Linked DNA regions of Sus scrofa. The protein of the gene in region 2 purifies or fractionates together with the protein of the main gene of each other region. This does not show direct contact. Links are inferred from orthologs where the notes say so. Each region holds a gene or a part of one and is shown on either strand. Other genes may lie near its edges. The genes, in order: KPNB1 and PPM1G.

Evidence for each region.
Region 1: the proteins of PPM1G (region 2) and KPNB1 purify together in Homo sapiens (affinity purification with mass spectrometry; 3 studies listed by BioGRID and IntAct, with this or other methods). This does not show direct contact. The link is inferred for Sus scrofa from reciprocal best matches to the Homo sapiens genes PPM1G and KPNB1.

Annotation. Positions count from the first base shown.
Region 1 is NC_010454.4:23,935,971-23,939,783, reverse strand, and holds part of KPNB1 (importin subunit beta-1), read right to left. Parts: intron 3,337-3,813; coding exon 3,192-3,336; intron 2,050-3,191; coding exon 1,967-2,049; intron 1,490-1,966; coding exon 1,382-1,489; intron 954-1,381; coding exon 810-953; intron 697-809; coding exon 591-696; intron 1-590.
Region 2 is NC_010445.4:111,746,600-111,750,889, reverse strand, and holds the start of PPM1G (protein phosphatase 1G), read right to left. Parts: upstream 2,879-4,290; 5' UTR 2,598-2,878; coding exon 2,478-2,597; intron 1-2,477.

The DNA.
Region 1 (3,813 bases), on a different chromosome or scaffold from region 2:
TGCCTCCATCAGGCAGGTTTTAGGCTGAACTAGTTGCTTCTGATTACACCAAATTATTCTTCCTCAGATCAAGAAGTCCTTCTTCAAGGTAACAGAAGAGGCCGATATTCCTCTTCTCACAAACAGATGTACTATAGAAGGAACAAATGGAACCTTTGCTCTAAGCCTGTAATATCAAAGGGGTGAAGTACCAATATTTTTTTCCCAATCAGGAGCAGAACCATCAGGTGGTAGAGGAAACCTGACTCCCAATCCTTCAACTCAGACGTGCCTGGGGGGGGGCAAGAAGGTGGGCATGGTGGCACACGCGTCAGTAACTCCCCACTTAGGGTTGGTACGGGCACAACCAGCACCATCAACCTTGAATGCTCAAGAAATGTGAGACAAGGTAGCTGAGGAAGCAGGAAGCAGAAATAATAAAGTGTTTACCCCCCATCCCCCAAAGCTCCTCCCTTCATTAGGGAACTGTTCCTCCTTCTTGCCTTGTTTTAAGCAGTAAGTGCTAGTTTGCAAGTAAGCTACACAGTGACACACACGGCTCATCTAGCTAAGGGCACACTGGACCAAGTCAACTGGGTTGTATACTCAACGGTGTACGTTCTCCTGGTCTCCCTTTAAGCCCTGGACGATTCCAGTATAGGCTTCCAAGCAGCCTTCCCTTAGCTCATTCAGATAATCCACCATGTCATAGTCTGACTGTAAGAGAAAAAGAACAGAATTCCTATCACATCGATTGCCTTTAGTTGTACGTTTGCCAAAAGGGCTGCTCCTCTAGTCAGGGCTGGACTTAAAGATAGTGTTAAGCTTACCTTGTCCACCTGCGCTTGGGAGGCCTGCTGAAGAGTATTCAATACGACTTCTAGGTATTTTTTAAATTCCCCACCAATAGCAAGGGCAATATCACCAAATACTGACAGAATCTGTGGCTTCACAGACCTGTGGACGTTTTCATTCTGACAAGGGGGGGAAAAGCAGTTTAAAAAAAGTCAAAGTTAGCTCTGTCCAAAGGATAGAAAAGTGTTTTAAATAATAAGCAACTACTAATATGCTGGGTATATACACCTTAAGAACATACACAAAAATTAGTAGTGGTTATCTCTACATAGAGGGATTAGGTATTTATTTTCCTTTGTGCTTTACTTGCTGTCCCCCCCCACCCCCGCCACCAAGTTCCATGCATTCCTTTAATTAACTTTACAAACTGAGGTGGAATCATCTTGTGAAAATGAACAGTTCCCTTCAAAAGCCCACAGCCAACATTCTGGAACATACATATATATATATATATATACATAGCTCCCTGTCACACATACATGACCACCTTTCCGACCAATGATTTCTTCCAATACTGGTAAACTAGGTTGTGCGTATAGACACTCACCCCCAAGTTCTCTAGTAGGAGTTGCATCACCTCATCACAGAAAGGTAAGATGTTGGATTGCAGGGCGCGGCATAAGTCTCCCACTAAGCCCACAGCCGCCAAACAGACCTGCAAAGAATCAAGAAAATGATCTCTCCAACAGAAAAGGCTGCCTGCAGGGCTAAGGCCTGATTTTTACCTAGCTGTTGGTCCCTTATCACCTGAACCTAGAGTCAAAAAGAAAAGACCCTTCTTCTCTGCGATTAGTTCATTTTTAACAACCAACATGGCCGGAAGAAAGCCAGGACCATCTAAAATATCATTAAGAAAGGACATTCCTATCCACCAGGGATGGTGGTGGCAGAAGCGAGTTGTTTACTGAAAACAAAACAAAAACCCCTTCTTAGGATGCTACTCTGGTGCATCTGATATCCTGTTCTCACTAACTACGTCTAGCTCAGACATACTCGGGAAAAGAGTCATTCAACCCTTGGGCTATCACATAGGGAATCATGACCAGGAATCACATGGGATTCTGACTTTCGTACTACAATGACTACTAGGTACAAATGAGATATAAATGTATTATTTGAAAGCACAGCCTACCTGGTACTCAGCATAATTTTTCAATCCAATGCCCAGGAAGGGTTTAAAGGCCTCCATGTACTTCAAGAATTCACCACCCAACACTGCAAAGAAACAAACTATTAGCACCACCGGATGTCATGGAAGTGAGCAAAAATACCACCTTACTTCTCCCAAAATGTATGCACTCCGGCCAACAGGCTGGGTAGAGTGTGAGTTAGTTACTGACTCTATCACAAGGAGTGATGACGTCACAGGCTGCCTCGGGCAAGCCAAATGATTAACTGCAGAAGGGCCTAACTCTTGCCCCCTGGAGATAACGTCACATCTCCGGAATAGGACCTTACTGACAGAAACTACCAAGTGGTATGTATGGTTCTCAAGGAATGTCAAGGTTAATTCTGAATTGGCTGAGTTACTGCCTCTCATCCACCTCTTCATCTGATTACAACATGTCCTCTCTGAAAGCCAGCTTTAAAACAGGGTCTCTAAGGCAATTCTATCAAGGACTCACTTAACAAGCCAGTCAAGAAAAGCTGTCTGGGCTTCATATCCAAATCAGCCACTCTAGGAACCAAAGTCAACTTCTGTGCCCTGCCAGGGGTGATCACGTGTTGCCAGACCAGTGGGACAAAAGCTCTTTATGCCAGAAATGGGTCTGGTCCTCCTAAGGCACCTGATAGGCCACCACTGAAGAACCATTCCAAGCGTCTGAAGTGCTCTTTAATACGTTTTCAATTGGCCTTTCAAGGAGTCTTACGTCAGATATGGCTTCCCCACAGCAATTGTGCATAAACATGTAACAAGCAGAAAATCAATTAATTCCTAGAACTCACTCAATGTTTCATTCCATTTCATATCAGGTACCATGATGTGTCAACCTGAATCCAAAGCATTACAACCCACACCAGAAGGTACCAAGTGCCAGGAAAGAAAATAGAAACCATTGCTTCCTCCATCCTTTACAGGAGCCAAACCTCAACAAAGCAAGCAGACTTCAGGGGGAAAAGGAACCTGAAGAACAAGAGATAGATGTTCCCCCATCAAAGGGTTGCCAATCTCTTCCCCATTCACTTCAAGGAGAGTGGCAAGGAAATTTATACACAAACTTACACTTCCATTTAACCCAACTCTGAACTGACTCAATACCCCAATAAATAAGAAGATAGGACTAAGCATTCTGCAGTCAAAATTCTTTATGGCCATCCTCTTTCTTTCAAAAGACATCCCGATCTGGCTCACTGACCTTCCACCAGTGTGCTAACTGCCATTAGGGCATCCTCTTGCACGCCCCCAGACCCAGCTGTGCTCTGGAACATCCTTAACAGGGAGGCCATGACCACATCTGAGATCTGCAAAGCGTCTTGATGTTGCACTTTCCGGAGAACATTCTGTAAAATGAATGAGAGTTCAGAATCTGTTGATTTCAAACCCTCCAATCAAAAAATCAATCAAGCCCCTAGAATACTGTGGGGTGCTTTTGGCCTATGTGTGTGGGGGTGAGAAGGTATTTTTATACTAATATGTTTTTTCTCTTTCTGGCCATGCCCACGGTATGCAGACCAGGCCAGGGGTTAAACCCTTGCCACAGCAGTGATAATGCTAGATCCTTAACCCACTAAGCCACTAGGGAACTCCTTTTGACAGTGCAAATCATTTGCGACAAAACATACATTTAAATATTTCACCTATTTCCCAATTCAGAACAAACACCAGATGATCTTCCATGGTGCAGAAAGTCATCCTCTCTGGAACTCATTTACATCTGACAAACCTGGTAGTAGCCTCCATATTCTAGTCATATTAGAACGGCAGTTAAACTATTTCAGCCTTTTTTTTTGCTTTTTAGGGCCATATCCGTGGCATAT
Region 2 (4,290 bases):
TACCTGTTAACTCCCAAAATACATACCTCAACCAGCTTGAGGATCACTCCAAACCATGGAGAAGGAAGAAGGGAAGGGAACATCAACTGTGGTATTTTGATTACCCCTCCTCAAAACACCCTGGTTCCACAGCAAGAGGGGCTAGAGAGAGGCAGAAAGTATAAAATGCCAGCTATTGATAGTTGCCATCCTTGCCTCAAGAGAAAGGATAAAATAGTACTCTCTTAGCCTGAATCTATGCATCAGTCAGGCTTTTAGCAACCTTTATAATGTGCATTGGTGTGATAAACGTAGCTCAACTAAATCATTAGGACCAAGCAAATTAAGGTCAATAGAATTAATAAATAAGTGGAATTTTAAGTCCTAAAGGTTAAGAGGAACAGGAGTACATTTTCCAAAAAGATTAAGATTCACTCAAGAGGCTAGAAGTCCAAGTTATTTTCTTGCCATAGCAAAGAAACTGTTATACTTAAGGGAGAGAGGAAATAAAGCCAGAAGCGAAAGTATCATTGCAGCAGAACAGGATCCCATACAGGACTTGGAGTGTATTTTATTAGATATATTTAACTATTTAAACAAAAGTAAAATCAAATACTGCATAATAAGATTTTGAAACCCTAAGTGGTTATCTCCCAGGAGGAGGATTAGAATCTAAGGAATAGTCTAGTAAGATCTCTACAAACTAAACTGCCTCTGATGAAAAGTCATGTTCTAATTACTAGAGGAGGAACCAAAAATAAAGGGAAATGCCCTGCAGAGAAGAAGCAAACAGTACAGAATCACTGGGCAAACAATTTGGAAAACTGAATATCCAAGCAACTCAATTTATAAAGAAAACTAGAAAGAGTACCAAAGAAATGGAAAAGCCACAGCAGAGAGGAGAGTCGAAAATACTGAAGAAGAAACCTGAAAGAAAAGCTTTATTATGAGATGAGACAGTCACCTCAAATCTTACCAAATTAACAGAAAATGTCATAGAAACAGAACTCCAAATTACCAGCTAATCCCAACCCCAGCCTTAAATTAAGGGTTTCCTTTGGAAGCTTCACCCAGATATTCCTACAAGTCAGACAATTACATTTACCAAGTACTCAGTAAGCTCAATACTGTGCACCACAGTCAAAAGTGAAGGCTTTACCTCAGCCTGACACAGAGAACAGTGCAGCAAGAGTCTTGAACCATTTCCATCCTACAGATCTTTCCTCCAAGGCACAAGTATCCTAATCTCTCCCAGCCTCAATTTCTGAGCAGTAAAGGGTGGGAGCCAATCTTAGTGAGATAACTATAGGATCCTCTCCATTCCGGAAATTTTACACCTAATGATAATGTCTCCTGTGGGTTCAAAATTTCACTTTGAGAACAAACCATTCAAGTTTACACTGTCATTCCAGAGCTAACCACAGGGAGGAGTGAGGGATTTGAAGAAATTCCCAAGGGAGACAGTATTTGCTGCTACCTGAAGCCCACCTAGTAAATGGATCAACCCTCAATCCCAGACAGAATTATGAGCATTTCCCTGGCTCCTCTGCCTAGATCTCCCGGTACTCTTCACAAAAACATGTCACACGTCTTTCCCCCTTCCCTTCCTACCATAGTTTTCTCCATTCTCCTTTGCAGTTTCCCATACAGTTGCCCAATACTATGCCTTTTTCTCCAGAATTTTTCCATAGCAAAATTTTCTATGAAAGAAAAAGAGTTCTCTGTACGTTAAGACAAAAAGTTGATGAAATTGTTGAAAATCAAGGAAACTATAAACTACAACAAGCACAGGCAAAAGACAAGTACCAAGTTTTAGAGAAACCCCGAGTGAGGAAAAAAAGAAAATCAAGCATTATAAAAAAAGAAATTATCGTGATGGACACAATTCAAGTTTTCCAAAGGCCATGAAAGGCCCTGAAACAAACAAGAGACAATTCTTGCAAGTCAAGTCAAACCTCCGAAATTAATTTGTGGTGCCCAGGGCCAGGCAACTAGGTATTAAGAATTTGAAACAGACCATTTACCCGGCTTCCTTTCACTGTCAAACTCCTCGTCCAAAGAACCCTCTCACATCACTTCTTTTTTTTTTTTTTAAGTACACTCATTCACATCTATCCCCCTCTCCCTAGCAAAATCAATGGATAGTCCCTTTTCATCTTCACTCCCACACTAAACCTCACACCGTTTGCGAGCCTGGAAGGCTGGGTTAGCACGAGAGGATGGCGCGAAGGCACGGGGACGTCGGTCAGTGGGCGGAAGGTGCCTCTCCCCACATGGCCGAGCCCTCACCGCCAAGGTGGCCACCGGCACACGGTTCCCTAGCACCGGCAGCTCTCTCGCTGCCTCGGCCCCGCTCTCGCTGTCGCCCCCCAGATTGCTGCTCCGGTCGCAGGATCTCGATTCGGACCCTTCCCCGAGGATGACCCCATCCCCCCGCTCCCTTTCTCCGTCGGGTTCCCGCCCTGCAGTCGCCAGCCTATGGGCCCCTCCCGCCTCACCTCCATGGAGACGCGCCAGCCTTGCATGGCGGAGAAGCCGTAGGGCAGCGGCAGGCGCGAGGCGCCGACCCCGTCCCCAGAGCACTTCACCGTGTTGGGCTGGGAGAGGTAGGCACCCATGGCGGCGGCTGACCGGCGACCTCAGGGGAAGGCGAGTGGGGCGCGACCCGTGCCGGAGCCGGAGCCCCGGGGGCGCGCGTGGCAGGAGCGGGCTAGACTGCGCGGCCGACGCAAGGTGCCGGTGAAAGGCGCGAGGCGGGCCAGGAGGCGGTAACGGGACGGGAGCAGAGAGGGAGCGGAAACGGAAACGGCACCGCTTCAGACCCCGCCCGGCCGGCGCGGCGCGGCACGGCGCCGCGCCGCGGGTAGTCATTTCCTTAGCAACTCGCCCCGCCCGCGGGGACAACGGCCCGCCCAACCGCCGCTCCCGCGAGACTGGCGCGGCCACGCCCACCAACGGCCGCGGCCTGCTTGGGCCGTCCCCGTGGGCTGCGCGTTGCCTCCAGCTCTGCCACCCTGTCCCCCGCCTCTTCTCCTGGCCTCGCGTTTTGCCTGAGCTCTTTTGTTTGGGACCTGGGGCTTCCGGTCCATCCTCCAGCGTGTCAGCTCCCTGTCTCCCCTCCGCGCCCGCAGACTCTGCGAACCGCGCCCGAAAAGGTTGACTTAAAGTTGGCTAGTATTTGTTCTGAGAGCATGAAGTATCCTGGCCAGGCCTTGTGAGGTCTGTGCCAGTGGGATGTGAGTCTTTTTGACAAAGAAAATGAAGACCTTGATCTATGACGTCTGTGCTGGTCGGGATGAAATCAGAGGAGAGTAAGAGATAGAAACCTACGGTAATCAAGGGAGTGTGATACTGGTACAAAAAGAGATGAAAGGATCAGTGGAGCAAAACAGAGCGCAGAAATAAACCCAGACACATCAGTTAAGACCCACAAAGGGGGTAAGAATATAAAAATGGAAGGAGTTCCCTTGGTGGTTAACGAACGCGACTAGGATCCATGAGGATGCTGGTTCGATCCCTGGCCTCACTAACCAGATTAACGATCTGGTATTCTGGCATTGCCTTGAGCTGTGGTGTAGGTGGAAGATGCAGCTTGGATCCAGGATTGCTGTGGCTGTGGTGTAGGCTGGCAGCTGCAGCTCCAATTCAACCCCTAGCCCGGGAACTTCCATATACATATGGGGTGCCCCCCCCAAAAAATTTATATAATAAAAGGATCTGGTGTTGCCATGAGGTGTAGATCGAAAACACACCTTGGATCCTGCGTGGCTGTGGTGTAGGCCGGCAGCTGAAGCTCAGTTTGGACCCCTAGCCTGGAAACTTCCATATGCCACGTGTGGGGCCCTAAAAAGACAAAAAAATTAAAAGAATATAAAGTGGGGGAAACATCAAAGCCCTCAGGAACCACTGAGTGGGAGTAATAAACTTCTTGTTCTACCAAAATAAATAAAAATAAAACGGGGGAAAGACAAGTCTCTTCAGCAAGTGGTGCTGGGAAAACTGGATAGCCGAATGTAAATCAATGAAACTAGAAAACACCATGCACAAAAATAAACTCAAGATGGCTTACAGATGTAAACATAAGACATGACACCATAAAATTCCTAGAAGAGAATGGAGGCAAAACATTCTCTGACATCAACCATACCGATGTTTTCTTAGGTCAGTCTCCCAAAGTAATAGAAATACAATAAAAATAAATAACACCTCGAGGTCCCGTCGCGGCTCAATGTTTAACGAATCCGACTAGCACCCATGAGGACTCAGGTTCAATCCCTGGCCTTGCTCAATGGGTTAAGGATCTGGCATTGC